4 linked regions of the Mytilus edulis genome follow. The protein of the gene in region 2 purifies or fractionates together with the protein of the main gene of each other region. This does not show direct contact. Links are inferred from orthologs where the notes say so. Each region holds a gene or a part of one and is shown on either strand. Other genes may lie near its edges. The genes, in order: ATP-dependent RNA helicase DHX8-like, RNA-binding protein with serine-rich domain 1-like, E3 ubiquitin-protein ligase RBBP6-like and AMP deaminase 2-like.

Region 1 (8,214 bases), on a different chromosome or scaffold from region 2:
AGCTCCACTCTAAAAATTCATATTCAAGAAGCCTATCTGTAAATAAGTGGTACCGATATAATAGACAACAAAGAAACTCAAATTACGTAATATGCTACCCCCATAAATGATTTTTACTTGACCTTTAAAGGAAAACATAACATCTTTCTTACTGAAGACGAATATACTCCTAAACTGATTTATTGATAAGTTACAAGCCTATGCAAGCATTGTTTATTTTATTGCTATATATCCACCTTTTTTATACCCACGTTAATAAATGTAGTTTTTTATTGAAACTTTGTTGCATTTTCTATACATTTGTGCCATTTCATGTAAAAGAAAACTCAGCAGCAAATTCAAAGGGGGATGGTTACTCATTTGTGGAAATATTTCTCCATTTAGTGAGGGCCTCCAACCTGTTTAACCACCACCGTCCTACTTTTATAATTTCCTACACGCAATACACCAAAGTTACAAAAACCTTTAAAGGGCCTCTTAATAATCAGTCTCAGATCTTTACATTAAAGCTATATGAAAGGAGCGTGTATAATACGTCTATATGACACAATGGCCTAGACTTTTTGTACCAAGATTTACAAATAACACGAATTATATGTAATTAAATATGATTACTGTTGCTCTAATTTGCGTGAATCATCTAAAAGTTTACATATCTGTTTAACAATATATACAAGTCAAAATATCACACGCTATTACTATAAACTGTTTATAATTTACGCATGTTAAAAACTAATTTTATTTTAATGCATAGTTATTGTACAATATTAGAAATCGAATGGCCAAAAATGGCATGCCTCAAGGTGAATCTGGGAACACGGTATATCTATCAATATAGATGTTCCTGTGTGAATTCAATTTAAAAAAAAACTGTGACATAAAATTCAGAACCTCCCAGAATTAATCTATTGCGAGCTGCATGTCTCGGTATAACTACGTCGATTTATATAACCCCGTACCACTGGTTAACTTATTATTCAGTCTGATAAAATGCATGAACAGTGTAATAATAAATGAATTTGTGACACCCTTTACCTTGCAACGAATTTAACAGTCGCCACAAAATGTGGTTGGTACCTGAGTCCTCGTATGACATAGTAGCAGTCCATGACCCTATCGGTCCAAATTTTTTTTAGTACTTACATGATTCCGTTTTTGTTTTCCAGGATTCCAACAGAATACCCAAAATAACTTCCGGTGGGTCCTTTAAAAAGCATCACATTCTTTTCATCTAAATTATATGCATGTGTAATACTGTCAAGATAATGTAAACAAATGTAAGTTTTAAAAATAAACACCATAAAATCCATTGCAGTTGAAACTGCATTTATCATGTCGGAGCAGTTGCTCTATTATATATACTTAATTTGTCCATAGCCGTACTGGTAATAATTTCCATTTGTTATTAAACCACAAAAGGTCAGAGGATAGGTTTTCAATCTCTCTATACACGTGTTATAATTGTGTGGTTTAAAAAACTATTTTTACTGACAACTTTATCTTTAAAATAATGGGTCTTCTATAGTATAGATTGTGTTTTATCATTATTGAAGTATTTGATAAGAAAGCACGAAATGTATTTGTTGAACTCTCCAAATTCCCTTTAAATGTGTGGCCTATCATTGGAAATAAGTATATACACTTGAGATTGACTATACACGGTCAATTGTTTTCTTTGCCTCACACTAGTCATGATAAAATTATGAAATAAAATAAACAAATAACAGAATCTGGAATAAGTTGGTCAGTATTGTTATCTAAGTTAGACGAAACCAAGCGAAACAAAACATTGACGTATATAGTACCATATACCCGTAGTACGAAAAAATACAAGCTGCTTTAATTAGCATTCAACAACCCACAAAAAAAGAACAATTATGCAAAAAGGCTAGTAGTTACTGTAATGTTCCACATGAAATCCATTACAGCCGATTTTATTGAGTGTGAAGGCTTTAGGTAATGTCTTTGGTTAGCTTTTTTGTTAGCTAAACCGCGAAGTCATTATTAGGTCAGGTATACTACCCTCCTTTCGAAGTAGCCTAGCCCAACAGACAGATAGATTGGTAATTTGTCGAACTAGTCTTCTATCAAAGGAGGGTAGTTTACCTAACCTAATAATGCCATTGCCTACACACTCAATGAAATCAGTTGTAATTACCATGAGTAAAATCTTCTCATATTTTACAAATGACGAAAGATGGACAGACTGAGAAATACTTCTGTGACCGGCAGATTTATGTTTACATCAATTCTTTAGATTTAATTGTTAAATTTCGAATTGAAAGATCACCAATCAATAGCAAGCTTTACACAAATGAAATTCCTGTCAGAAGCCAACATCTTATTTTAGGTTATTATTTTTTTTTTTTGGGGGGGGGGGAGTGGTCACCATATTTTGCTTTGAGCGTTCCTGTCGCAGGTAAATTCAGAAAGGCGCAGAGGACTCATAAACTTGATTTATAACGTATTTTTTGTCATTTTTACAGCATTGGATCGATACCTTTGCATGTGGACTATTACTCACTGATGGTATATACATTCAACTCAGTTGTCAGTACATCGGTAGTGATATGATTTATAGCATGCCTTTTTTGATTTGTCTGTTATCAATTTTGAAATTTAAATGAAACTAAGGTTTCAACTTCCTCAGGATAAGTAATCCATAGATCGATCTGGCTATCTTTTATGTCCTTTTCGGTCATATAGCTCTTAAAATGTATCGGTTTCGCACATTTTTGGTTTTAAAATATTTGGTAGTTTAACGTTAACGCTCAGGATAATATTCGAATATCACGGCCCAGGCCATGTGTAAATTTCCAACAATCTATGGCTTCCATGAATTATTTCTTAATTGTTACTGACTGAAGGTAAACACAGAAAGGCGCTTCGGACGCATGACATTTACAACGTTTTGTAATTGGTTCGATACCTCTACTGGTGGATTATCACTCTCCGTGGGTATATTCAACTCGGAAATTTAGTCTCATTTCACACACAAATAACCTCCCTTTCCCAGGACAAAATTTCATAATGTTCATCTATGAAATATTGTCTATATACAGACAAAATTTCACAATGAAGATATGTTCATCTCTGGACATCATTTCATAGATGAGGCTGGGACTATCATACTAACAAGTATAATAGTCCCAGGATGAGGACAATATTTCATGATAGTGACATAGTCATTGAAATATTGTTTTGGTGTACAGTATTTCATAGGACAATATTTTGCTTTACATATATACTAAAGAGATTCGCGTATCATATATATCGTTATAGTGTCAGTAAATCTTTCAAAAACACTTGATTCATGAAACTGATTCCACATGCAGACATCTAAATGAATTGTGTATATACTTGCAGGGGCGGATCCAGCCATTTTAACCCAGGACAAAAAGGGGGGTCCAACTACATGTCACCATTCAAATGCTTTGATCGTACAAAAAAGGGGGTTCAAACCCCCGGACCCCCCCCCCCCCCTTATTCCCCCTATTACATAATATTCAGCTGTGATATATTGTCTATATACAGAGAGAATTTCACAATGGAGATGTGCCCTTCTCTGAACAATACTTGATTTCATGATACCGTGGCATAGTCATGAAATATTGTCTTTGTGGAATTATTTTTATTGACAATGAGTTGTCATTCTTTTTAAAGTGTGGTGAGTTGGCAGACTGAAAATTATTCATCTAAATTTTAACTTTTTCAATAAGTCGGGAGAGTTGGCAAGAGTAAAATTAACGTGATTTAACCTATTTTACAAGTGGGGCGATTTTTTAAAAGGCACTGGCTACGGTTACATGGAAATGTAACAATAATAAAAATATTATTGTTACATTGGAGACTAATTGCCGGAATGCAAAGTTGGGTGAGGAACCGATTAATTACAAATGTAACAATAATTACTGAGGCTACGGTTACATTACGTTATTGTTACATGAAAAACAGCAATGTACGCTAGATTGATTAAACTTAAATCTTCTATAGTTGTATTGCTTCATTCTTTCATATATACTAAACAATACTTGTAATTTAATACTGATAAATAATAAAATATTATTATTCAACAAATGGTGTACAACTTGAATAGTTTTACTACGTATTAATGGTTTTGATGTTCTTAAAGATACTACTCAAGATTATGAGTGTGACTGTCAAAGGCGAAAAATATAGTTCAATGGTTTCACTTTTTTACAGTATTTAACTGCACACCTACTCTTATTACTGTCATTATACTTTGGACCAATTTTGTTTATGGTGAAAAAAATAAAACTTGGGATGCGTTTTAAACGAAACTGAAACAATATCAAGACATACATTTCATACAGCTAAAACTATAACTTGACGCAAATTGATAATCAAAAGCAAAGTTTGCTAACTGTAAAGTTTAATACTAAGAAATTCTGTATGTACACGTATCCGTGGAGGACGTAATTTCGTTCATCAAAAATGTGTCGGACTTTAAAAACAACTTGCTTACTGGATTTGTAGAAATTGTCATTGTAAATAAAAAATTACAGTAAATAAATTGTATGTTATAAATGCATGTAATAAATGTCCTCAACTTTTATTATTTAGTACATATTACTATAGTCCCATCGTGCATTGCTTTTTTTCATGTAACAATAACGCAATGTAACCGTAGCCTCAATAATTATTGTTACATTCGTAATTAAACAGGTCCTTACCCAACCATGCATTCCGGCATTTAGTCTCCAATGTAACAATAATATTTTTATTATTGTTACATTTCCATGTAACCGTAGCCAGTGCCTTTTTAAAAAGTGAGGCGATTTAGTGTTGGGCGATTTGCAAGTGGGGCGATTTGTCCTGCTTCCGTAAGTTCGAGACTTCCCTCAAGAGCCTCAAATTATTATACCTTCCCTTGTATTAACTCTTTTGCAAAAAGTCCTTTTTCGTCTACTACGATCAAAAACGAACTTCTTTGTAAACAAAAAATATCATGTGGGAAAAAATCATCACTTTTAAATGTTTGTTCCTCTAATCTAACATAAATTTGGCATAACTGAACAAACGATCATCAGTTTTTCATATCTGAGAGGTTGTTTTTATTGAACAGTTAAAATGAATGAACTTCAGAAATTAGAATATTTATCTTTGGTGTCAAAAGTGTGCACTGAGCTTGACAATCACTTAGGTCTAAATGACAAAGATCTTGGTAAGTGTGTATTATAAATTGTTTTCCTTTAAACCTAATATATATCAAAGAGGTACTACCTGATATGCTCCCGAATGTCATCAGGTGTAGATCCAAGATAATTTTGTTTAGCAAGACAATGTTTGGAGTGGTACTTGTAAACAGTCTATACACTACACATATAAGTACAATGTAGCTTCAGAAGGGTAATGTCGGTTACTTAGAGACAGTTTTATTTATTTTAAACATTGACGCTACATACATTTGACATACATGTACTTTAAACACTGTTTTCATTACCCTTGTTACCTTACTATTATAGGTATAACCATTGTATATCCTTTGTTAGTTTTTTGTAATTGCTCATCATTTTTGTCATTTTAGTGATTTACAAAACAGTTTTCAAAATGACAAAAGTATTTTAAATCAATTTCGTCACTTATTTAAATTTTGTAAGTGTAGAGTGAGGTGCTCATTTTCGCCACATCTTTTCATATTTTCTACAGTTTCTGTTCAAGTGTGAATGTTTTTGAAGTATACTGATATTTCTATATGAAGATAACTTCAAATGCAAAATATTCTTAAGCTTGAAAACGTGTTTGTTTGAATATAATCATCAGAAAAGTTAGATTAAAGGGTGTTTGAAATTACCTGATTTTATGTCAATGGGGGACACATATTCGCCGTTTTTACACATCAATTTAAAATCAAATAACTGCAGCTTTTAATAACATTGATCAAATTGATTTCATAATAGATGATAGCAGACATTTCAAAGGTGTTAAGAACTGAAATTTAGGGGCATTCAGTCAAAGAATTACTTAGAAATACTTCTTTGAATTCCTGTTTTTTCTTCAGGAAATTGGCCGAAAATGGTTGTCCGTTTTTCGGTCCTTTTCAGTAGGTTCCGCAATTTTGTCTCAGTTATAAAAAATAATCATATTTGTTATATAATATCATTTACCGGTATATGTCTTCCATTTCAGCCATGCATCCTTTGAAGTTTTTACACCTCAAAATCATAAAACGGCGAAATTGTGTCCCCGGCGAATATGGGCGCCCCACTCTATGAATATTTTCGCATGAAATTATTATACAAAATTTTTTGAAAAATGTAGTTCTACTTGTCTTCAAGTTTTTGACAAGTTTCTGACCCTCAGCTTATTAAAGTTTACAACATGTGTTAAAAGTTGTGATGACATACATTGCCGTGACGCCCGTCAGTGGGTCACTAATACACTAATTTTTTATTAGCCTCATAGTTGACCATCATAATTATTTTTCCAAGTAAAATCAGTCAGTCTCAGCATTTCAATTTCAATAGTTCTCAAACAACATAAATTTGAAGTAGCTAAAGATTTATCAGAGTTTTGTCATGAACAAAATTGTTTTAACTTCTCTAAAACAATATCAGATTTACAAACAAAGATAAACAATAACAAACAACACAGTCCTATAAGCTTAAGAAAATATTTTCCTGGAATGTGATCAGGCACGGATCCAGAGGGGGGGTTCCGGGGGTTGGAACCCCCCTTTTTTTGGACGATCAATGCATTTGAATGGGAGCATATACATGTAGCTGGAACCCCCCCTTTACTCTGGGTTGGGAACCCCCCCTTTTTAAAATGGCTGGATCCGCCCCTGGTGATAAAGAATACAGTAAAATGTTAATCCCGGCATACATTGCATAACATTTCCTTACATTGCGTAGAAATTTGGAAACACACATAATTTTTTACAATAATCTTGAAATTATATAATTGAATTGATGTATATACTTCATGTGTCTTATGGTGATTACATACATTTGTGCATTCAAGCTCAAATAAGATCACTGGAATAATCTGGTTTAGTTATCATGGTTATTGAATTAATATATATAGGCAATCAACAATATTTTTTTAATAAGATAGACAACATGATAGAACAATTTGTTAATGAAGTCTGTACATGTGTAGTCTGAATAATTCATTGATGATTATATACCTTTAATGTTGACTGATTTTTTTTTTGTATTTAATGTAGCTGAGTTTGTGATTTCTTTGGCTGAGAAAAATGACACATTTGAAAAATATAAGAAAGTGTTGGATGAAAATGGTGCAGAATTTTCAGTGAGTAAATTTCACAGTATTGAATTATATTTAGGCCTGGTCATTTTTATTTGCAAATTAAAAAAAATACTTATGTACTGTTTTTACTTACATTTATGTCAATCTCTTATTTGGACCAAGATTTTAAAAGTTCATTTAAGAGAGTTTGGACATTTTAGCTTTGCAAATTTTTTGTTTCAAGAATGATTCAAATGAACTAAAAAGTCTTAATTCTGGTTCATGTGTTACTAAACATTTGAAAGTTAAACTCACCTTTAAGATTGAAATATAATGTTTCCTAATGTCCAGGGGATAATATCTTATTGATATTCAAGATGGCTTTTTCAATAGCTAAGTTCCTGATTTAAACAAGATTTGAAATATTCCTGTACAGTTAATCAGCCTTTTTAAATTTACTGTTTAAAATAAAATCCTTAAAGGCTTTTAAAATATAATATAATAGAATCATTTAATAAATATTGAATGTCAAGTTACATTTTTTCTATTTAGGATTCTTTGGTGGCCAACTTGTTACGACTTATAAATAGAATGAAGCCCAAACCACCAGATGCAGAAAAGAACAGCAGTGACACAACAGAGGGTATTCCTCAAACCGATAAAGATCTTCAGAAGAAGTTGTTCCCAGGTTTAGCCATGCCCAACAATCCCAATGTCTTAGTAAGTTACTGTAACAAATGATTTCCTAGGAAGGGCTTCTAGTTATTACCATATGTTAAAATTGTGCTGTTGCCATTTAATGGTCTAATTGTACAGCAAGTTTGCAGTGGCGGATCCAGAAATTTTCATAAGGAGGGCCCACTGACTGCCTAAGAGGGGGCTGCTCTTGTCATGCTTCAGTGATTCCCTATATAATCAACCAAATCTTTCCCTCAAAGGGGGAGGCTGGGCTCTCTGAATAACCGTCTATATCTGCCTCTAGTTTGTTATAAACTGATACTG
Region 2 (7,563 bases):
AATGTATATTTCACGTATTTGTTTGATCTCATTCTGAAAGTGCATAAAATATTTACCTGTTCAAAGTCAGGAACTTCTAAAGAGTCATCATATATTTATGTCACATCTTAATTTTTTTTTATTTGAAGAATTTGGTTTCTCTTCTGTTTTATCCTTAAAGTCATAAGAAACGAGTGACCGGTGAAAAATAATGTTCTTCCAATTCTTGAACAAATGCATACAAACATCATAAACTTAGTCTTCTGTGCTCGAATTTATCATTTTTTTCGTGTAAATTTCGTATAATTGTCAATTTTTTTTTCAATCGGTCAGTGTTGTTGTGAAAATATGGCAGGTAATTAAAGTTCGTGTCTTGAAGCCGAAGTTTAACGATTGTCACCTGTTTGTCAACAATTGACGAAAAATAAACAAAAAAGCATGGAAATTGAGCACGTGTTTAACATGTAAATTCAGATAATAGTTTATTTTAAGGACATCCATGCGTATTGTGGTCACCGGATTTTTACGAGATGGGTCACACTGAGGTCACCTTGCATACGGAAAATATCTCGGGGGAATTGCTTGCTGGAAGGAAGCTATTCAAATAAAGTAAACTTCTTCTAAATATGAATAAATTAAAGAATTTTCTTCAGAAAAAAGTACATGTACATAAGTTTTATAATGAAAACTATCCATTGAGTTATTAAAATCATATGCATTATTTTTTTTTGATTTGAGGTTTCTTATGACTTTAAACATATATATATACCAGTATTAGAAGGAAAAATGTGTGAGTTGTAACATCAGGATAAAAGTTTGTTTACAGTCGTGACAAAAGCTCTATTGGTTCATGTTAGTATTTGTTCATAAAAGTGATACTCATATTCTCCATCAAGTAACTACATTTCCCATAATGCCTCTCTCTCTGACATACCTGCCATGTGTTCAGTCCAGTTGTTCCTTGGGATATGAGATGTATTGATTCTTGTAGGCTTACTGTTTCACTATTTGGCTGCAAGAACAAATACAAATAAATATTGGAACTGACAGAACAAAGATAAATCACAAATAATTTTCTGAGGCTTTTTATTTTTACCTCGAATCAAATGTTGAAGACTGCTTTTGGTATCTTGATTAAATGCTATAATCCTTATGATTCTTTAATTTTGAAATCATCAATTGCAAGCTTACATATCCTGGTTTAAAAGATATTATTATGAGATATAAAAGCATTACCAATACATGTATTTACTTTTCTGATAAGATGATCAACAAATTTCATAATAATGAATAAAGAATGTTGACTCATTAGATTAGTAATGAAGCACCAAAAAGTATACTCCACAGTAGCCTTATCTGAATGATATTTGGTGTTTACTTCATGAAAACCCTACACTTTTTCTGGCAAAAAATTATGTCATCATAATGAGATGCTGTTACAAGTAGCAGTTGTAGTTGTTTGTTTAACCTCAGTTTCAAATGGGATTTGCAGGGGAATCCCTGAATAGAAAGTACATGTACATGTAGGTATCTGTTTGTGTCAGAAATGTAAATCAAAACATGTCTACAATGTGACATCATGGGTATTATAATTAAAACAAAAACAAGGGAACCTTGTAGAAACCTGATTTTACCAGATGATATGTTTTGTAACAAAGGATGTCATCTTCGTCTTCAGTCTGTTGTAAAAGGTCTGTGTAAACCTCGTAGATTTCATCACACATTTCAACCTCACTTTCCTCTAACTGAAATTGACAAGTTACATATCAAAACTCTACAAGTCTTTGCAATTATTCCTAAATGATTCATGCCCAGCTACAGGTATATTTGTAGATACTCTATTGTTGGTCCTGGCAACGTCCTACACTTGAAGTCATACCATGAGCTATCTTTAATCATATTTCATGTGATGTTCAGTTACAATGTTTAAATATTTTATGATCTAATGAGTAATTAACATAGAAAACATGTATGTATGTTTATACAAGTTTACCCTATATGATTTTTTTAAATTTGTATTGATGATTTTATGTATCATACATGTAGGGTTGCTGTCTCATTCACTGTCACATATATCTGACATCAACTTTTATTCACATCATTTATTGAAATGGGAGATAACTCTTACAATATACCAAAAATCTTTGCACGAAAAAATCCAATACAACATGCATTTCAGTGGACACAAATTATTTTAGTTGATCCCTCTCAGTAATGATTTCTCGCATTTCTAATAAGGCCAAATAAAAATATATGTGTGGTTCCAGTAACCCTACCGTCTATACTTTTTTCGGCTTAAAAATAGCCTACCCTAAAGATTTTATTTTCATTTTTCATTAAGCACTGTTAAAGTCAGAATGTTGCTCCCATGGACTCAATATAAAAAAAAAATAATAAAATATAAAAAAAATTCCAACCTACCTAACTTTTTTTCAGATGTAACTGGAACCAAACATACTTTTTTATTTGGCATAATCATGAAAGTTATGAGAGAGTTTGATTAAGATTCAAATAATAAGTATCGACAGATTGTAGTTCAATGAATATGTATATTTATTTAGCTTTTAATTTACTGATAACAAAATCAATATTTATACCAATAAAAACATTATTCAATGATCTTATTACAGTATTGAATAGGTAACCTTTTTAAGTTTTAGAATAAGTTTATTTAAAGGAGCGACAAGTTTACATGGATCATTTCTAAATTTCCGGGCACAGTTAACATTTAATTTTGCTTGACATGACAACTCAAACCAATATGTCATGTATTCTAACATTAACTAAATACGATTCTGATTATTAATCAAACCTTGTGAAGTAGGGTCTTCGTGAAAGCTTTTTGGTAGGATACTGACGGAGGATATTTTTTGCAAAGTTCATTTAAAACTGTGGCATTGAGGACAGCCTTCTGTTCCTCTGGACCAATCTGTGCACTTGTAATAAGCTCTGTCTGGAAAAAAGAGTAAAAAATAAAACAGATGCTATTATAATACTATTTCAATTTTTAAGGATTTATTGATTGGTGTAACTGTTTGCTCAATGTCCAAATGGTAATTTTTGTTTATCATATAGTATTAAACTTATGTTAAAGGGGCACTAGCTGTCAAATTCATGGTCACCGATTTGACTCATATTCTCATATTTGATTTATAGCAATGTAATATTTTATCCAAACTATCAATAGTCTAAAATAAACAGTTTACAGAGCATGGGGTAGATAATATATAGGTTTGTTTCGTGTGTATTTTAGTCCAGACGCCATCTAATTACCTATCGATTTAACCTCAGATGACCATATAAGCGATGTACATTTTGTAAACATAAATAAAGAAATGACTAGATTAAACCAACATGTGCAATTGGATTTTTATAGGTCTGTTTGATTTTATTTTATAGATCAAAAATAGATGTTTCTCATTGTTTTTAACCGTATAAGAAATGATTATATGTGCATCAAATTAGTAATCAAATGATTTACCGTAGTTTCACTTTCATTGTTGACATTCTTTTTTTTTAAATAACCAGTACACGTACATGACGTACAATGCATGCGTTGTCAATCTCTAGCTAGGGGTTAAATTGAAGTTCACATGAATACGGATTTAAAGAGGTCGACTCATTCACTTGCAAGTGAATTACTAATTATCAATGTTTCTTAGCGTAATTTGACAAAATTGAACCTTTTAGGCTGCAAAAAGTGAATTGTTATTTCACTATTTCACTGTCATTATTGATTGAACAGGAAAAAATCAAACATCACATGATAAAATTTATTCAACACACCAAAAAAAACGTAGTCAGAATCTCACTTCATTTTGAAACAAGTCCATGAAACAAAGTTATAGCAATAGCCAATACACTAACCAAAACATGATTGAGAGTTATTCAACACAAAATAAAACGTTGACAGAATCCCACTTTATTTAGAAAGGATTATTATTTTTTTTTAACAAAACACTATCCAAAACATAATTAAGATTTATTCAACACAAAAAAAAATGTCTCACTTTATTTTGTGACAATGACAACAATTATATTTATAAGAATACACTTGCTTACAAAGTTATTAAGCACAAAACCAATTAAGATTGGGCGCGAACATGTAGGGTGCGAACGGACTTTGGGTGCGAACATGAGTGAGTGCGAACGTGAATGGGCGCGAACGGACCCGGATTCGATATAGACCAAAGATAATTTTTGTATAGTAAGCCCTGCGCAGAAAACTCAACATTTGGATAAATATAAGTATATTGACGGAAAACAAACATAATATGACTACTAACTCTCCATTTTATTCGCCTTATCGGCACCATTTCAAAAAATTGACATGAAATTTCATGCAAAATAACTTTGGTATCAATTGAGCTCATGGAGGCTGCCATTTTTATTCCTTAAAGTAAAAGAAATTCTCATTGGCAGGCAATTTAAAGACTTCATATTTCGTCCAATCAGAAACGAGCTTTTAAAGTGTAACGGCGTCAGAACCTCTACCTCAAAGATGTAAGAATTAATTTTTCTAATCCATTAATATCGTAGCCATCCATCTACTTTACCTGCATTTAAATGTCAACATCGATTGTTGAAACGTTTAATAATTAAAATTACCCTTTTTCGTTAGAATTTAAGAAAAATTGGGAATGGGTTTTTTTTCTAAGCATTGACCCCCCTTTTCTGTATCTGTTGTTAAAATAATTTCTCTTGTTTCCTGTTACATTTCGTGGTTGTAGTATGCAGTAACAGAACTAATCAGAAGTCCTATGCAAATATTTAATTGCACAAACTCATTTTAATGCCAAAAAAGGTTAATTTATATTGATAAATTGATTGAAAGAATGAATACACCTTATAGCTATACACCTTATCGCTATTTGTCCGCCATTGCTGGAAATCACACAGGTTCCCGTAAAATTTTGACGTCATAAAACAAAATGTCTGACGCCACAATGGAAAAGTGATTGTTGTTGACGTCAAAAGTTCAAACGGACGGGTCAGCCGGGAATAGCGATAAGGTGTATTTGTCTGACGCCCCAATAAAGAAGTAATAGTTGTCTTGTCAAAAGTTCAAGCAGCCGGGATATACCTTATCGCTATTTGTCCGCCATTACTGAATATCACACAGGTTCCAGTAAAATTTTGACGTCATAAAAAAAAATATCTGACGCCATAATGGAAAAGTGATTGTTGTATGTGTCAAAAGTTCAAGCAGCCGGGATTAGCGATAAGGTGTATAGTTTATACTTGTTGATATATCATGATGAATGAAAAAATCAATATTGATTAATATCAGTTCACTATTCTATACTGGTCCAACAACAGAGTTAACATCTTTTGATTTTTGTTGTCATTGGAAATGAAGAATCCATATATATACAAAATGTACAGTACCACTATTTACAATGAGACCACTCTCCACCAGAGCCCAAATGACAAGACATTTACAGTCTTCATGCTTAACTTTTGAGTCCACAAGCCAGAAGCCCAATTTTTGGAAAATTTTAGTAGTATTCTGTTGGCTTGTAGAGGAGAATCTTACAAGTCTGAAAGCAATTTTACATGCCAATGCCGTAGGACTTGCGTACGGTTAAGCGCTTTCGCGTCGATCCGGCCCAAGTCGATCCGTCCCACGTCGATCCGGCCCCACGTCGATCCGGCCCCACGTCGATCCGGCCCCAATAAAAAAGTATATTTATAAGGATAAAAAATAAAGATATATATTAAAGTAATTCATAAATGTTTATGATTTTTATTATAATGTAAAGGCGTACGGTAAAAAAAAAAAATTTCTTCAGATGAGTATACAAACAACTAGGTTGATTATGTTTTTATTACAAGTTTTCAAGATTATTGGGTATAATTATATTAAAACAATTCAGACATCAACATTAATCAGCAGTAATTAGCGTTTTCTTTCAATTGACTGTGATCCTAACAAGTTTTTCATCTTGTGTAATAACAAATAGTTACATACACAACGGTACAAGCCGATCCCCAAGCTGATACATACAAACTTTGTTTTTCTTTTTAAGTTCTTAAAATTTCTTAAATTGAGAAATGTTGTTAGATTTGCCGAATCCTATCTATAAAAGAGAAGACATGGAAGTAAGTAATTATTGAAATGACAGTCTAATAAATTCTTCAATAAAAAAAATATACGAAACTGTTATTAAATATTGTCATCTGCTGTAGCAATTCTTCTCTGTTATATGTACTCAACATTTCCTTTCTTGCAATAAAGAATAATGGATACTCATATAACTTGTGTTTTTTTCTACACACAACTATTCAAAATACTGTCAAATTTATGAAAAATATATCGATATAGGAAGATGTGGTGTGATTGCAAATTCCATTTATACTGTGTCACAATTTCCTCCAAGATCAATATAGTTATTTCTTATTTTATTATGGGGCCGGATCGACTTGGGGCCGGATCGACGTGGGCCGGATCGACTTGGGCCGGATCGACTTTGGGCCGGATTGACTTGGGGCCGGATCGGTTTGGGGCCGGAACGACCGGATACCCGGTTAAGCGTGAAGACTGCATTTAACAACTTGAAGGGCATACAATACAGTTTTGGTCCCGTATTTACATTTTGATAAAAATTTCCATATAAACTATTTTTACCTGATTAAATCAAATATGTAATAAAAAATATGCCTTCATGTGCTACTTTTTGAGTAAAATGAGGTCAAAATTTTGTATATTTGCTAAAAATTCGGACTTGTGGCCGTATTTTCCTTTTCGAAAGAAAGACATAACTTTTTTGTTTTAAAAGATCACAAATTGTTTTTGTTAAATAATTTGTAATTTATGTATTTTATAAGTATCCTAAAAATTTATTCATTTTTTTAATTCAGAAATAATTGTAGAAAAAACATCATTTATTGCTGTTTATTTATCAAATTTTAAAAAATTGCACTATTTACGTTTTCATGAAAATTGGCAAAAATAATCTTGCGTAATCAAACCAAATGGCATTTTGAAAAAGAGGGGTTCATGAACTCGTTTTCAAGTGAAATAAGTTTGAATGATAAAATCAGTCGAAAACTGAATCTTTCCCGATAAGTCATACACTGTAGTTTGACGTTGCGAAAATAACAATTTACGGTAGCAACGTCATTACCTCCCCTGTAACTATCGTATGCCCTCAAGTCTCTGAGTCTTGACAACCTTCAACATTACAATGCTGTAGTTGTGTCAGTTGTGTATTTAAATTTACTTAAATTTATTGATGTACAGTTTTTAAAAGCATTTGCTTTTACTGTCATTTAAAACATGTAAGGCTATTTTGTTAATCAACAAAATACATGTAGAGGGGACACAATTTTCGTTTTACAGTTCTTTTAGGATTGTGTAAAAGTATCTGTTTGCTTGGCTTTTGTATTGAAAATGAAGCCAATTTGATTAAGCATTCCTCAAAATTTGAAATGCATATTTAATAGAAAGTTTAATAGTTAACCCTTTTCCACAGAAATTTTGAGTCCCCTAAAGGTTACTCAACAGAATTCATTAGAACGCAGTGATTCAAGAAATTCACCTCTCTCTGATAACTAATATTGATAGTTTTACCTGTACCCAGA
Region 3 (8,152 bases), about 57 Mb from region 2:
AATTTACTATGGGGTACCGATCGTGTCACAGATGTACAACCCAATCGATCGACTTACTTCAATTTACTAGGTGCACAATCGGAGCAGTCGTATCCCGCAATCAATACGATCAGGCCCTTGTTGATCAACTCAATCGATTCAATTACTTCAATTGATTAGGTGCATCGGCTCAATCGTATCCAACCAATACGATCAGGCCACGGTTGATCAATTCAATCGATCGTGTCAGTTGTAAATATACCCCAAACGATGCTGTGTCAGGTGACATGGGCTGGAAACCACCATGTGTTAAACAGTGGATAAATATTTTCAGACACTGGTCTAAATGTACAAAAATGGACAATAATAGAATTAATTATAAAGTTTTTAAATGGTCAGTGATGAAAGGTAGTTGTAAATTAAAGAATTGGTGCTACAAAGTTATGGAGATGTTGAAATCCTTTGATTTTGAAAGATATTGTAAAATAAATGAAAATTTTCTTGATAGTTATAGTATATCTCAGTTAGAAGAGAAAATGTTTGATAAATATAAAAAAGACTGGTGTACAAGAATTTTTTCATATAGTACCGGTTGTAAATTGAGAACATATAAACTTTTTAAACATACTTATAACACTGAGCAATATTTGCTACAGAAAATGCCACAGCGCCATCGTAGTGCTTTTTCAAAGTTTAGATGTGGTGTAGCACCATTAAAAATTGAAACTGGTCGATATGAAAGGAAAAATCTAGACGAAAGAGTCTGTTTTAACTGCAATATTTTAGAGGATGAAAAACGTGTACTTTTAAATTGTCCCTTGTATAAAGATCTAAGACATGCTCTTTTTATTGATATATTGTGTCATAATGATATGTTTTTAAACTTGTCTGATGAAGAAAAATTTATGTATATGTTTAAAAATACCAATATTTGTAATATTGTTGCCAAAACCTGCAATAACATTTTAACAAGGAGAAACGGTATTTTATATCATTAACTACTGTATTTGTAGTATTTTATAAAATGAATAAGTATTATTTGTATTTTAATAGTCTCTCATAATTCTTTTAAGAATGGCACATACATTTATTTAATTGTTTTAACTATGTTTACTGTATAATTAATTTTATAATTGTATCTTGTTTTAATCATGTTGTATGTGGTGATACTTTAATAAACTATTGAATCTAAATCTGGGGCCGAGTCAACGAAGCTGTCCTAGGACTAGGACATGTCTTAGGATGGTCTTAGGACACGTCTTAGTCCTGAGTCAGACTCTCAGGTTAACGAAAGTCTCCTAAAATAAGATATGTCCTAAATTTGGTCCTAAAGTTAGGATATACAAATAGGTGTCTTAGGATAGTTCTAAAGGTTACAATGTCCTAAACCGTAATAAAAACAACAAATATGGCATAAACTCAATACTAAAAATACCAATACAATATTAAACTATCATATACTGTTATTAGAATTAAATTAATAAAACAAAATATTTTTCAATATTTGTTAAAGATTCAATTGTATTACATTAAATTATGCTGTGCTTAAGCCCAAAAAATATTATCATCATAAGCAACATTTTTTTCGACTTATCAAAACGGTCCAATATTAATTTAAATATGGAGACAAAATTACTTCTTTTTTAATAATCCTGATTCGAAACATGTAATGAAATCGAGTGGACCTAAGTACAAAACTAGTTTACTATAATTGCTGCACGACTGTCGCATTTAACTAGGTTTTGTTACTATTTACCTTTGTTTTCGCATTAAATTTATTTATATCTTTTATCATATTTAATAACGTATTTATTAGTATTACGTTATAACTTTAACTTTAATTTTACGTTAATTGTTTTCAATATAAGAGTCATCCTCCCTATCTTTACATATAGGTTCTAAATTACAATAAAATCTATGTCATAGAAATCTCTCCATATTTTTTTCAATAAAATAAATGTGTTAGGATGGTCTTATGACCATCGTAGTTAGGACTGTCCTGAGACAGCTTTGTTTTACATCCTAAGACATGTCTCAGACACGTCCTAAGACCATCCTAAATAATGTCCTAAGACATATCTTAGGACATATCCTAGGATACTTTCATTGACACGGCCCCAGGTCTTTCCTGTAAAAGGGATGTTTTCGTAATGTACTTTGCACGACCTTTCGTTTGATATACGACAAGCATACCGTTTGAAACTTTTCGCTTTGTACACTTAATGACCTCATCCGCCTACACTTTAGAGTCCTACATATGTAACATAGACTTGATGATCTTTCAAGACTTGATGATATGCGACAACGTCATGTTCTAGAAAGTTTGATTTTTGCACTTAATAACCCCATCCAACTCATTTTTGGAGGTCAGGAATTTTATATTTGAAATGTACACGTTATGACCTTTCATTTGATATACAACAACCTTATCTTAAAAGAAAGTTTATTTTTTTGCACTCATTGACCCCACCCAACCCATTTTTTGGTACAAAAGCTTGTCCGGAAAAAAATCCATAGCCCCCCCCCCCCCCCCCCCCCCCCGAAAATCAAATGGTTGCTACCTAAATAGAAGTTATGAAACATGAAAATTTCAAATTGTTTATTTGGTGGTTTTTTTTTTCATTGAATGTTTTTGGTATTTTGGTCAAACATATAATCATGTTAAACTCTTCAATTTCATAAAATTTCAACCTGCTGTTGGTTCAAAAATACATGCCTCCGCTTGCAAAACTTCAAACTAAATTATCTCTGAAACTACAGCAGATATCTCAAATCTGCTAAGTGATAAATGATATGCACTTAAAGGACAACATTGTACAAAAAAATTGGGACAATTCCAAAGTTCATCAAGGTCACAATGAATCATCAAAAATTTGATACAATAACAAACTTGAGAACCGGAAGTCGTAGAGACATAGGACTACCACCATTCAACCCAGGACCACTTGACCTTTCAAATGTCACAAGGTCAAGGTCATAGTACACTTTGAAGGTCAAGGTAAAATTTCATCATGACCTGACATTGACCTCAAATTGAAGGTCTTAAAATACAGTTCATTTTTGCAGTTTATAGTAGGTTGCTATCTGTTACCTTTCAAAAGATAAACACACAAAACTATACTTTAAAGAAATTATTTCATTGTAAGTTTTGAACAGACGGTCGGACATTTTTTAGCTTAATGTATAAAATGTAGAGCTCGTCGAGGGGAAAATTTATACACAGTATGTATTCAGCAAACTCTTATAGTTTTCTTAATATGTAAGCTTGAAATTGCAGCGTAAAAATATTTTGCACTCGGTGACCTTTGACCTTGGATGTAAATTAAAGGTCACACGAACTGTCCTAGTAGATTTTTTACCTTTAAAAGATGAAGGAAAATAAAAATTATAGTTTTTTAAAATTAATATTCCATAAACTTTACAATAGTTTAAAAATATTATGCCAGACAGTTGTTTTGTAGAAAATATTTCAATTATAAGTAAACTTTTCTTGGCAATTTTAGCCATTTTTTTCTTAAAATATAACCATAGATAACTGTCCTGGCAGATTTTTTTTAACTTGTTAATTTTTTAAATACCCTGTTCTTTATTATTCAATTTAAATTTTAACAAATCAAATCAAATCAAATATTTTATTGTCATATAAACTTTACAGTTTGTGACCAACATATATTAATACAATAAACACAATAAACATATATACATACATATTAAACATACAAAATATCAACAGCATTAAAATTTATAACAACAAACAAGTTGTTAAGAGTCCCCTGCCCTCAGTTCTAATGACTTTTTCAAGAAGGATCCTAACTTATTTGTTTGTAAAGGCGATGATGGATTTAGTAAATAATGAATTTTTTCTTCTTCATTTAAATTATTAAAGTTCTTATTTTCTGTACATATGTGATGAAAAAAGTCATTTCTTAGAGTTTTATTATACTCACAAGATAGTAAAAAATGTTTCTCATCCTCTAGTATTTTACATTTATGGCAAAGACGTTCCTCTCTTGGGATTTTAAAATATCTCCCCTTTTCAATCAAGAGGGAGTGATCACTTATTCTAAATTTAGTGATTAATCTCCTTATCTGAAAATTAGATGTATTTAGATAATATTCTAGTTTGTAATCTTTTTTAAGTTTTTTATAGAGAAAAAATTTACTTTTATTATCGATGTTTTGAAATTTATTTTGAATTAAATCATATCTATTTTTCATTTTTAACTTTATATCGTTTTTTATTTTATTTACATCTTTTATGTCCTTACAAGTAGAAAGAATATTAAGGTCAACTTTAGTCTCTTTAACAATATTTTTAGCATATGTATACCATGAGTAAGTTCCTGTCAAATCTAGAGACTGTGCTAGAGAAAAAGCTTCCTTTAACAATGGATTAATATTATTATTATATAGTCTAGCTAAATATAAAAGGGTTTGTGTTTTAATAAAACATTCTATAGGCAATCTTCCTAATTCAACTCTTGCTCCTAAATTGGATGCATTTTTTCTTATGCAATATTCTTTAACAATATGAGGAGTTAAACAAAAGTTACAGATAAAAACGTATCGAAAAACTCTGTCCGGGTTTTATCTGTCCTGTTTAAATAGACCTTCCCATGTTTTTGGTACTTTAGATATACCAGATCAAATATCCGTCCTCAGATCCAATCCACTAAATACTGTGTCCAACGATGTTTCACGAGAATATACGAGAGGATTTTCCAGAATGACGCCATATGCAAGGCTAACACAATGTGAATGTCACGACTTTTTTTAGAATTAGAACTTATTGGCTGTGTTTATACGATACATGTAAGTTTTTTTTACACTATAGGCTCAATCTTAACGGATTAATCAGAACGGCGTGTCACGATAAGTTGTATGTTCAGGTTTAAACTTATTTATTTTTTAGCCAAATTTACATGGCTAAGAAAAGTAACATACCTCTCAAATGATTTCTAGCAATACAATGGGAAATGTACTGCTCCTTGTAACAGTTCCTGCCTAAGTACAACTACAGTCAAGAGACGGGTGCATCAATTTTGAATCAATAAACTACTGAAATAATCATAAAGAAAAATAGACAAATACCTGTTCGGCTGATGTTTTTTTATAACCAGTTCGGCAGTAGGCAGTACAAAAGTTATGGTCAGATTATATGTTTTTGTATACTGACTGACTTACGAAACACAACACCAAACTAAATCAGATTTTATCAAATTAAATGAATAATATAGCCACAAAAAGAAACGATACCCAGATTTTTATCAAAAATATCTATTTTATTTTCAACAATGTTTTTTGAGTTTTGTATTTTATGGAACAATAACATAAAAGCATACAAACGTATCAAAGATAACAGTTAAGTAAATATCAAATCATTCCTTATTGCACAGACTGTTTGAAGATGTCTTTGAAAAAAACAAAAGTTGAAAAGTTAATATCTCGTATGGCCACCTCTTTGAGTTGATAACAGCAGGCAATTTCCGACGCATTGGTCCAATCAAACGCTGAATAAATGCTTGTGGAATGTTATTCCACTCTTCCACCAAGGCAGCTCGTAGCTGGTTGACTGATATGGGTGGATGGTGATGTCTGCGTATGTGTTTGTCAAGTTCATCCCATAAATGTTCAATGGGTGATAGATCTGGCGATAAAGCTGGTCCTAGAAGAATGTCTATGTTATTCTGCCCAAGATATTGTGTGCATACACTTGGCACCTAGCATTGTCCTGTTGAAAAGTATGCCGATTCCCATGCCTTGCAATAAATGGTTGTACAATTGGAGAAAGAATTTCGTAACGATTATGAAATCCAGTAAGACTTCCATTTATGAACTTCAAGTTAGTGCCTCCACAATGTGTGATTCCTGCCCAAACCATCACACCACCACCACCAAAGCAATCACATTCATGCACACATGCATCTGCAGAGCGTTCATTTTGACGTCTGTACACTCTCATTCTTCCATCACTTCTATGTAAGCGAAATCTGGACTCGTCACTAAAAATGATGTTTTGCCACCTGACACGGTTCCAATACAAACGTGCATTTGCCTAACATAGCCGCGCAGATCGATGGCGCTGTTTTAGAATGGCTCCTTCTACTGGACGTCATGAACTCAAAACAACCTCTCTTAGCCTATTGCGTACAGTTTGGGCCGATATCCTTGGATTATGTCTCCCTGGTGTTTGTCTTGCGGTAAATGTTGCTGGCAAAAACCGACCCCAGAGGTGAGTGAATCTTATTCGACGGTCTTGGCATAACGTCGTTTCTCTTGGACGTCCCATAAGTCGTCTGTCATTATAGGACCCAGTCTGTGTTGAACAACTCATTTATCTATTTATTGTCAATTTGGAAACACCAAAATTGTGTGCAACGTCAATATGGGGCATACCTGCTTGTACCATTCCCACTGCTCTATCATGGTCATTTTGACCTAGACGTGGCATTTGAAAACGGCTTTTTTGGATGTCACCTTCAATTACCTTTTGTTTACCTGTGTTGACCGGATATTGAATCACCCTCATTTAATTTAAGACCCGTGTTCGGACGACATAAATGTGGTTCCACTCAAAAATCAAAAATACGCTAAAATGACGTTATTATTTTGTAAAACAAAAACAAAAGTGCAGTAACCTACAGACTTATGACTGTTTTCGAATATACAACTAGTTGCAATACATTTTTTTTGTTAATAAAAATTATTATGTAAAAAAATTGGGTATCGTTTCTTTTTTTTTTTCTAGTATATATTACACAAATTCATGGTACATATGAATATTTAATCAATCTTTCAACATTTAAGACAAAATTGACTGTCAATTGAGAAAGCTATGACATAATGTTTCATGTCAAAGTAATGAGGTACAAACCATGCACACTTACAGTCTGGTTTTGAATCTTCAGTATCAGGTGTGGCCACTGTTGTTCCGTAGGACAGCTTTTTATCTTGTTCGCATTCATGATTGATTGACAAAGGTTTCTGACTGTTTTGCGGGGGATGTTTTGCCATATGATATCTGTTGTAATGCGATACCATTTTCAGCCGTGGTAGTCGTCAGATTCAGACGAGAACAGCTGTCCAGCTCATCCCATATGTGTTCAATAGGATTTAAGTGGTGAAAGATCAAGCTATTCCAGAACATCTACTCCATTCAAATTCAAAAAGTTTCGAGTCAACCTAACGGTATGTGCACGTGCATTATCATGTTGGAATGACAATTGATTTAACTGTCTATGACATCGTAGCTTTAGAACGACAACTGGCTGCAAAATTTCATCAATATAGGGTCTAGCTGTTAATGTGCCATTGACAATAACCAACCGTGTCCGAAAATTTGTGTTAAAAGCGCCCCATACCATTACACCTCCGCCACCAAATTTGTCACGTTCAATCACAGTTATCTGGGTAACATTCATTTTCTTTGTATATTCTTGTTCTTCTGTCTGCAAAACTTACATTGGACCATGATTCATTGGAAAACACCACACGATTCCAGTTTCTCTGCTGCTGCAGTTGTTGCCTGGTCCATTGCTGTCGATTTCGTCTATAGTGTGGAGTCAAAATCATTCCTTTATAGGATCTCCTGCAGGGAATTTGACGACATCTCAGGATAAGGGATACTGTGTTAGCATTTATTGCTCTGCCATGCGTCCAGTAGTTTGTTTTGCGGTTGGCGTTGCCGTCGTGAATCCATTCCGCAAATGATGTAGTCTGATGGCATTTTGTTGCTGGGGCATTGTTACTTGTGGATGGCTGGGTCTCGGATGATCTTTTACTGTTCCTGTTAATCTGTTGCATTGAAATAAACAACTGATTGCTGAGTTGCTTACATTAGAATGTCTTGAAACAGCACGCTGACTCATTCATGTCTGTAACATACCGATGGCTTGATTGCGATTTTCATCACTGAGTCGTGGCATTACGAAATTTAAAGAAGTTCAATTGGTTAATGGAAGGCAAAGAATGTAACGCATCTTTTAGACAAGATAAAAAAATCGGTTTAAAATTTATTCAGCTACCAGCCATCCTGCGTCACACATTTCATGCTTCCCTCACCCCGTTATTACCTGACTTGCTCAGGTAAGGCAATGGTTGATTTTTACTAACCAAATACATGTCATGGATGTATGACAGGCGTACATAAAAAAAAATCTTTTATAGAAAATAA
Region 4 (8,654 bases), on a different chromosome or scaffold from region 2:
TCTGTCACTATAAAATTCAAGCAACTCCAAACATGAATAGTTTATAAAATGAACTTCTTTTCCTGTTACCATGGTTACATACAAAATATACATCAGGATTATGAATTAGTGTTAAATGTCTAGTGACAAATATCAAATGCATATAGGATGAGAAAATGTTAATGGGATATGAATATTGTACTAGAATGATACTTTGTCAGAGCCAAAATTTAAAGTTTAGTTTCACACAGTAACTTATCACAGGAAGATATATCATCCTACCTGTACACGTAGTTCTGTCTCTATGCTGACCAGTATTTGTTCTTACTCATAAATGCTGTGTGCTTACCCAAAGAGCCACAAGACCACTGAGGGGGTTGAATACATGTTTCAATTTGAAATTCTCATACACAAAAGATAAACAATGAGAACTTTATTAAATTATACTACATTGTAGTGCAATGCTCCCTTCCCAAATTACACATGTTTGTTCATAATTCTCCTCTGTTCACTAACTAATCAAGTTATAAGCAGCACATATTCAAAGCCTGTTAAAAATCTGAATGCAGTTTATCACAGTGAACACTCCCAATATGTAAATACAAATATTGTGTCTCAAAAAACAAATGTCCAGTTTTTCATGAAATTTTAATCATAAAAAAGTCCAAAGAAACAACGTTAAATTGCATTAATTTTCTACTTCATCAAAATAAATTTTTACATTTTCAAGAATTTTCACTGTGTTTCAGCATCCAGATGCATATATACATACGCTTACATGTACCATGAGATATATGTGTGCTTTACTTAACCTACATGTAACAATTAAAACTGAAACAAAAGAACATTACAATATTTTTAAAAACAATATTATCATGCACAACATGAACATTCCCTGAAACTCACTTTTCTTCAGCTATCTGCTCCAATGATCCTGTTGGTCTGAAAATAGTTATCTAATTGTGATAAAAAAATGAGATGAAACCTAAAAAAATGGTATTCTCTTATAAAAATATTTCTTGAGTCTAAAAAAACAACATGTTTCTGCTAACCTAACCTACTCTATATTTTCTATACAGTTTTTTTCTCACCAGGTTTTAACAAGCACATTGAAAATCTGAATGTTTCTAGAAAGTCGATGAAAGTAGTTCAAACTTTTTGAAATATATAACTACTTGTTTATCATGCTTATTACATGTATTAATCTCCTAATTTTTTCAACATGTCAGAAAAAACAGGGTACTTCTGAGTGAAAACAGAGGGGGGAAAAAACAACAATTTGAAAAACCAACAGTAAAAATAAAATTCAATTCAATGATAAATTATTTCTCACCTGTTCCAACTTATAAACAAATTGAAACAAAAAATCAAGGTATGATATATGTTAAACTATGGCTATGACCATGATGACCATGATGATATAATTATAGTGTTATAGAGGGAAAAATTCACACAATACAAATAATTAAAGATGAATGGTATTAAGCAAGGAATAAATTTTTTTGAAGCAATGAAATAAAAGATTAAAAAATTTCATAGACTTAAAACTCATTTGCCTGCATTTTCAAATTATGCCTTATGTTTTCCCATTTGAATGGTTTTACACAAGTCTAGTCATTTTTGGAGCCCTTTATAGCTTGCTGTTCGGTGTGAGCCAAGGCTCCATGTTCAAGACCGTACTTTGACCTACATGTATAATGGTTTACTTTTACAAATTGAATGAAAAAAAAACCTTGCAGAGATTATTTGTTCAAGTAAAAACACCATTTCAAACAACTGTTAGTAAAGTCAAAGTCAAACAATGCAACTTCATTCAGCACTCAGTGACTTTATATATATATATGACTACACAAGCTACATGTATATATTCACCTTGTACTCAGTTGTCTCTCAAAATAATTCTTGCTCTCATTTTCTTCTATTGGATATTCATCAATCTCATATGGTGCAGAGCTTTTATAATGAAGTTCTGGTCCATCTGTTTTTCTCCGTAGCATAGAATCAGCAATTTCTTGAAATTTATCATCTGTAGGGTTGTGGATATGTTTAGGGAATTTCAACTTAGCAGGTGCAAATGTAGGTGAAGTCAGTCCATCTGAAAACAAGTTAATATTTTTCTAAAAAATATTAATCGTATTAATCACATATTCTAATGCAACAACGTTTGTAACATTCATTTTGATTGGATAACGTCACTTTCTTACATGGCATCAATTGACAATTGATGCTATGGGACGTACGCGTATGCGCAGACGGCATTTGACCAATTTTAAATACATGTTTTAACGTTGTTTCCTGTCAGTTTCATTAGAATGGAGATAACATTATTGTATTTAAAGCTCTGATGGCATCAATTTGGGATTTGATGGTCGCAAAAACCCGTTTGCTGTCTCCGCTAACGCATCGCCAGTAAACTTAATTTGCGACCATCAAATCCCCAATTGATGCCGTCGGAGCTTAAAATACAATACAGTTATCTCCTAATTCTAATACACACAAGTTGACAACCATTTGTCATGTTTGTCAAAATATTGTTAACATAATCTACAATAAACATGATAAATTGTCAAACAAAAATTGTCAAAAATACCACTTATTAAATACAGTCAGACTGTCATACTTTTTACAGTTATTATGAATTGAACTATTGCATATATTGCATGCATTGTAATCAGTACATTTTGTTTCATAAAGGTGTTCTTTTCTTAACTTCAATTATCAAAAGAAATACATGTATAATGGATATATCTCTATATGCATTGCTGAATGTATTTTATTTAAAAGTATAAAACCAAAATTGTATTACTGCATCATATTTATCAATATGTTTGCTTGAAATAGGAATTAATAGATTCAATTTTCTTCCATTCTCTCGAGTCAATTGGTGCAGATTTCCAAAAAGCAATTATGGCAATAGGGTGTATTTATTCTGCTACACAATATATTATACACAATTTTTCAACATAATTATTTGGACTATTTTATATTATGACTTCAAAATTTGACAGGAACCTTTGTGAACTCCAAATACGGATAAGGTGTACAATGTTGTATACAAATTTGCCTTTAAAAAATTAATGTATTAAAAAAGATAATTTTAAGAGTACAATGGAGTAAGATCCTGAAATTTTTTTATGATCAAGTATTAAAGAATTTAAGATTGGTTTGTATATATGGTTAGCTATTAATTTATGAGTATGTACATTCTACACCCCAGTTTCACTGTAAGAACATTTTTGATGCAAACTACCCTGATCCATAACATGCAGAAATCATTCACATTATATATAAATATAAGGATGCAGACGTTTGACCCTAGTGAACTTGATGAAATCAATTTTACATATTTACCTGCAGCGGCTGGCCTTTTCTTTATGTCATTTGGTACGTTTCCGTTCATTTCGAGTAGTTTTTATCCTAATACACAAATCATAAATTGTTTGAATATAACAATTGCATCTGACAGCAGCAGTTTCGCCAAATTACTTTTACGTATCAAGATTCAGTAAACATTAGAGATCTCGTCCAAGGGACATAACTGATCTAGAAGGCCAAGAATATGTATTTTTTTCCTTTGTTATCTTGAAAGCGAGTATTGAAAATTGACTAAAATCACAGTGTAGTTTGCCATGTTACATATATGAAACATTATTGACATAAAATAAACAAACGTAGATGTAATCAATATTTTTTAGCTTGATAACAGTGTTCGGATTTTACTCCTGTCTCCTCCCTTGACCTGTGGTTTAGAATTTATTTATGAATGTTGACATTGGCAATCAAATTTATTCTTGGAAAACACAACTATCAACATGACAGACCAAAGACACCGCATAAAATTAAATATCAAACATGGTTTTTATCAAATATATTTGTCCATTCTAAAAAAAATGCATTTTACCTGTGTGAAACGGGGACAAAACAAAACATATGATATTGTTTGTTATTTTCAACCAAAACATGCTACATTGTACTCACTGGGCCTACAAATAACTGCTTTTTTCAGTGTCTGTTCACGCATTTTTATATTCACCTACATCATTGATCATCATTGTACATTTATATGAGATGAAAGCTGTGGGTTGTTTATTGTACTGATCGAGGGACGGACAAAAATTTGTCAGTGGAAAATCTAACTCTTACACTGTTGTGTATAATTTTCAGACATATATACGTCTGAACCAGTGACAACTCTACAACAGATTTATCCATCGGATCACCAGCAGTGATATATATTATGATTTTTATATGAAAACTACAAGATATTTAAATTATTTTTTTTAAGATACAAAGAAATTGTTGCTGAAACGAACAGCATGTTTTAAGTTCAAGTTTTATTCTTGTTTATACAACACATCTTGCTTCTTTACAGGTTCAGTCCGACACAGCATTATTTTAGAATTACCATCCAATTCCTATGAGGTATTGAAAGTCCAACATTTGATGGACAAAATGGTGGAGATGTTTGGAATACCTCTTGAATGTCAGAAAATTGTTCATAAAGGTAAACATGGTAAAATGAACAAAGTTATAAATATGATAATGTAGGGATAATTAGTTGTAAGAAACAAAATTTTCATGTCATCTCCTGCAGAAATAACAGAGGAAACATAAAAATAAACAGTTAGAAGTATGATTAAAACATTTGTTGGCCAAATACTGATTGAACATTCTTGAACTCATGTGCTTAAAGATCCTTTGAAATTGATCATATTAATTGAATTAACTCTGTATGTATTGCCCTTAATAGGAGATTCCAGTTAGAAAAAGACAGAAATAATTTTCTTTAAAGTATTAAATCAGTTTTTAAGACTGATGGTTGATTTTATGTAGACCTTGTTACTCCAGATAAATGTTTTAAACAATGTCTGAAAGTTGTATATTTACTGAGTTATATCCCCTTATAATCCATCATGGTGTCTAGAAATATAACTAATAAGCGTTGACCAATTCAATTTTGTTCAGTAATAGTATTCAAGACTGATATACATTTGAGAACAAATTATAAATTTATGTGAGGGATAAAATAGTTTTTGAGAGAAAAAAATGTAAAAATTCTTTCATATAAATAATAATGATATGGGAGCATCTTTAAAAATTTTGAGTATTATCTTCTGTTGTTGTGGAGTCAAATCAAAACAAAAATGAGCACTACCATAGCACATTTTCAGGGATCAATATTGTTCGACAGTTTCATAATTTTTTTCTCAAACTATCTGAGAAATACTTATAAAAGTTGATTGTCAAATCTCATAATGAATTATGAATAAATTAAGATATGAATTTCAGGAAAGACTTTAAAGGATCCCGGTGATATATTGAGTGAAATAGGTGTCAGGGATGGTGCGACAATAATGTTATTGGGGAAGAAGGTATATTTTAAATTGCAAAGTTATAAAAAAAAAAATAGTATCAATTTTTTTTTTAAATTTACAAGAAAGTTATAAGCATGGTAAAAAATTACAATTAGGAAATGTTATCAATGAGCAGTTCATTAATTTACTAAACTATTCCGAATCAGTGCATACAGGAAGAGAGTTTATGATAATCAGAACAGATGTTTTTAAAACTTCTTTAGAATTCTCAGATATATTCAAATAATATTTTGAAATAGGATTTGTTTTCCACACTTTATTTATAGCCAGATCCTATCGAGGACAAAGAAATGAAGAAGTTATCAGATATAGAAAAAGATGTAGAGAAAAATGAAAAGAGATTGAGTGATATCACATATGAATTAGATGGTATTCATAGAGTAAGTAAAATATTGAAATACTTTACCACCACTTTATAGACAATAAATCACAACAATCACATCGAATACTTGATTTTCTTCTTTGACATTCACCATTAAAGACAGGAAGGGATGACAGACATACACACCTAAAATTATAGTAGTCTTTTGTTAAACTTTCAGCTTCATTCCGATTTTGATAAAACTGGAACGTATTTCATATTCAATTTAAATTTAATTGTTTTAAAAAAATATATGAGTTACTTCCCTTAGCCTTAACATTCTCTTATTGATATTATAGATTGACTTGGCAAATTCAGCAGTCAAGAAAATTGAAACACTGTGTTTTATGCAAACATACCACATGATGCTTTTTTAATTTGATGTGTACTCTTTTTTTTTTTTTGTCTTTTTTGTAAAAAGTTTTAAATATTTGAATGAGAAAAAAAAATGTTCTGAAAATTAAAATTATTCTAAATTTTAATTTCAGGGTTATATAAATGATGATTTGAAGTTACCAGCCTTAAACCAATTAAAGAAAAAACTAGGAGGAACTTCAGAAATATTTATGAAACAATTATTATCTTTAGATGCCTTAAGTTTTGAGGAGAGTAATAAAGGAGGAAGAGGGAAAAGAAAAACTATAGTAAACAGAATACAGGTAATTATATAAACATTTGATTACATTTTAAATGTGATTATCAAGCCTCGATAAATGTATATAAATATTCTCATTTGTAAATTCGGTAGTTAATTGTCACCGATATATTTCAAAACTGCAATTATACTTTAAAATTGAGAATGGAAATGGGGAATATGCCAAAGAGACAACAACCCGACCATAGAAAAAAACAACAGCAGAAGGTCACCAACAGGTCTTCAATGTAGCGAGAAATTCCCGCACCCGGAGGCGTCCTTCAGCTGGCCCCTAAACAAATATATGCTAGTTCAGTGATAATGAACGCCATACTAATTTCCAAATTGTACACAAGAAACTAAAATTAAAACTAATACAAGACTAACAAAGGCCAGAGGCTTCTGACTTGGGACAGGCGCAAAAATGCGGCGGGGTTAAACATGTTTGTAAGATCTCAACCCTCCCCCTATACCTCTAGCCAATGTAGAAAAGTAAACTCATAACAATACGCACATTAAAATTCATTTCAAGAGAAGTCCGAGTCTGATGTCAGAAGATGTAACCAAAGAAAATAAACAAAATGACAATAATACATAAATAACAACAGACTACTAGCAGTTAACTGACATGCCAGCTCCAGACTTCAATTAAACTGACTGAAAGATTATGATTTCATCATATGAACATCAGGCACAATCCTTCCCGTTAGGGGTTTAGTATCATACCATCATAACATATATGAGAAGATCATAACCCGTGTCATGCCAACAACTGGTTTTTGAATAAATGTGTTTAGTTCCGATGCAAAGACCCTATAAGTGAATCAATATTAACGCCAAAATATGCAATCTTTAATGACCTGACAACAGTATCGTAACTATATACCTTCTTAATAAGTCTATTCAAAGGTTTTGTTAGTTTTTGAGGTGAATATTTGCATGCTGATCTTTTTACATACAATATAATACACGTATTTGATCAGGGTGACCCATTGTGTGTCATTTCCATTGTGTAGAATAAGGGGGTGTTAGAGGCATGTTTTACTTTATTGTTCAGGCATGCAATTGGCGAACAGATGGTATTTTGAAAATATCTTGATAATTGCAAGATAAAATTTTATCGTATTTTTTTGTGTGTATTTCAACAATTATTTCTAACTTTGAAATTATACAAACATGTTTTACAGTTTATTGTGTTTTAGTACCTTTTTAATATTGTTGATTTTGCAGGTTTTGTTAGACAGATGTGATGGACTGATGTCAGGATTAAATGACCAGATAGCAAGGTTGTCTATATGAAATGCACCTTAGTTACAGTATACCTCACCTTTTGTTTGCACTGCACAGATTTTTACACTCAAACACTCAAATTATATAGAATGTTTATTTGTGCTTTGAATTGTGTGTTTGTGTATTTGAGAACTTTTTGCAACTTATTTCTTTGTTTGAAATTGCACATTTTATATTACTTTATTAAACAATACTATTTTTGCTCTTTAATTTAAAGACCCCCTGTGAGCTATTGCCATCATTTTCCATCCATTGTTTTCCCCTGCATGATGCTGTAGGTATTACATATAAATATTGAGCATGCATCTGTGCGTTTGTCCACTCACGATAGCATTCTCAATCTCATGTGTACAATTCTGGTCGGATTTTTATAAAACTTATATCAGTGGTCAAAATTAGCATAAAACTTATATCGGTGGTCAATATTAGCATCAAACTTATATCAGTGTTCAATATTAGCATCAAACTTGTATCAGTGTTCAATATTAGCATCAAACTTATATCAGTGGTCAATATTAGCATCAAACTTATATCAGTGTTCAATATTAGCATCAAACTTATATCAGTGTTCAATATAAGCAGTGTCTTTGGATAAATAAAAGAATGAGTGCTTACCAACTAGTTATGTCCCTTTGAATTATCAATCATATTAAAAGTTGCATTTTAAGTGCTCTCAAATGTACAATATATTTTTACATCATAAAATATTTCATTAAAATATTTATTAAAAGGTTAAAAGAACTAAAACCATTTTTTTTAATTTATTACCCTTAGAGAGATAAACTATGTGCAATGTGGGGGACATTGGAACTCTCTTCCTTTTTTATCTGTATCTTGCTTGCAACGATAGAAAACATAAACTATTTGTTATTTCAGAAGGTAGAAGACCTGAATGCATCATGCCTTGTATATTGATACCTTATGTTACAAAGTTTCCAGTTGTCATATCTCCATCAAATTGTCCTTTACCTCATTTTCACTTTCTGAGGTCAGGATTAGATGAACCTGCCATTTG

Evidence for each region.
Region 1: the proteins of RNA-binding protein with serine-rich domain 1-like (region 2) and ATP-dependent RNA helicase DHX8-like purify together in Homo sapiens (co-immunoprecipitation; 3 studies listed by BioGRID and IntAct, with this or other methods). This does not show direct contact. The link is inferred for Mytilus edulis from reciprocal best matches to the Homo sapiens genes RNPS1 and DHX8.
Region 3: the proteins of RNA-binding protein with serine-rich domain 1-like (region 2) and E3 ubiquitin-protein ligase RBBP6-like purify together in Homo sapiens (co-immunoprecipitation; 3 studies listed by BioGRID and IntAct, with this or other methods). This does not show direct contact. The link is inferred for Mytilus edulis from reciprocal best matches to the Homo sapiens genes RNPS1 and RBBP6.
Region 4: the proteins of RNA-binding protein with serine-rich domain 1-like (region 2) and AMP deaminase 2-like purify together in Homo sapiens (co-immunoprecipitation; 3 studies listed by BioGRID and IntAct, with this or other methods). This does not show direct contact. The link is inferred for Mytilus edulis from reciprocal best matches to the Homo sapiens genes RNPS1 and AMPD2.

Annotation. Positions count from the first base shown.
Region 1 is NC_092345.1:83,690,055-83,698,268, forward strand, and holds the start of ATP-dependent RNA helicase DHX8-like, read left to right. Parts: upstream 1-4,852; 5' UTR 4,853-5,091; coding exon 5,092-5,185; intron 5,186-7,189; coding exon 7,190-7,275; intron 7,276-7,764; coding exon 7,765-7,932; intron 7,933-8,214. Other genes in the region: integrin alpha-4-like, read right to left, coding at 1,144-1,334.
Region 2 is NC_092352.1:76,793,795-76,801,357, forward strand, and holds the start of RNA-binding protein with serine-rich domain 1-like, read left to right. Parts: upstream 1-4,530; 5' UTR 4,531-4,545; coding exon 4,546-4,568; intron 4,569-7,563. Other genes in the region: protein-lysine N-methyltransferase EEF2KMT-like, read right to left, coding at 914-991, 1,614-1,724, 2,792-2,932, 4,266-4,364. UniProt on the Homo sapiens protein: Part of pre- and post-splicing multiprotein mRNP complexes. Auxiliary component of the splicing-dependent multiprotein exon junction complex (EJC) deposited at splice junction on mRNAs.
Region 3 is NC_092352.1:19,424,628-19,432,779, forward strand, and holds the start of E3 ubiquitin-protein ligase RBBP6-like, read left to right. Parts: upstream 1-4,647; 5' UTR 4,648-4,791; intron 4,792-6,902; exon of another isoform or gene 6,903-7,167; intron 7,168-8,152. UniProt on the Homo sapiens protein: E3 ubiquitin-protein ligase which promotes ubiquitination of YBX1, leading to its degradation by the proteasome.
Region 4 is NC_092348.1:27,887,412-27,896,065, forward strand, and holds the start of AMP deaminase 2-like, read right to left. Parts: upstream 3,500-8,654; 5' UTR 3,380-3,499; coding exon 3,331-3,379; intron 2,075-3,330; coding exon 1,852-2,074; intron 922-1,851; coding exon 886-921; intron 1-885. Other genes in the region: BAG family molecular chaperone regulator 1-like, read left to right, coding at 3,792-3,834, 4,352-4,483, 5,269-5,351, 5,621-5,734, 6,204-6,374, 7,580-7,635. UniProt on the Homo sapiens protein: AMP deaminase plays a critical role in energy metabolism. Catalyzes the deamination of AMP to IMP and plays an important role in the purine nucleotide cycle.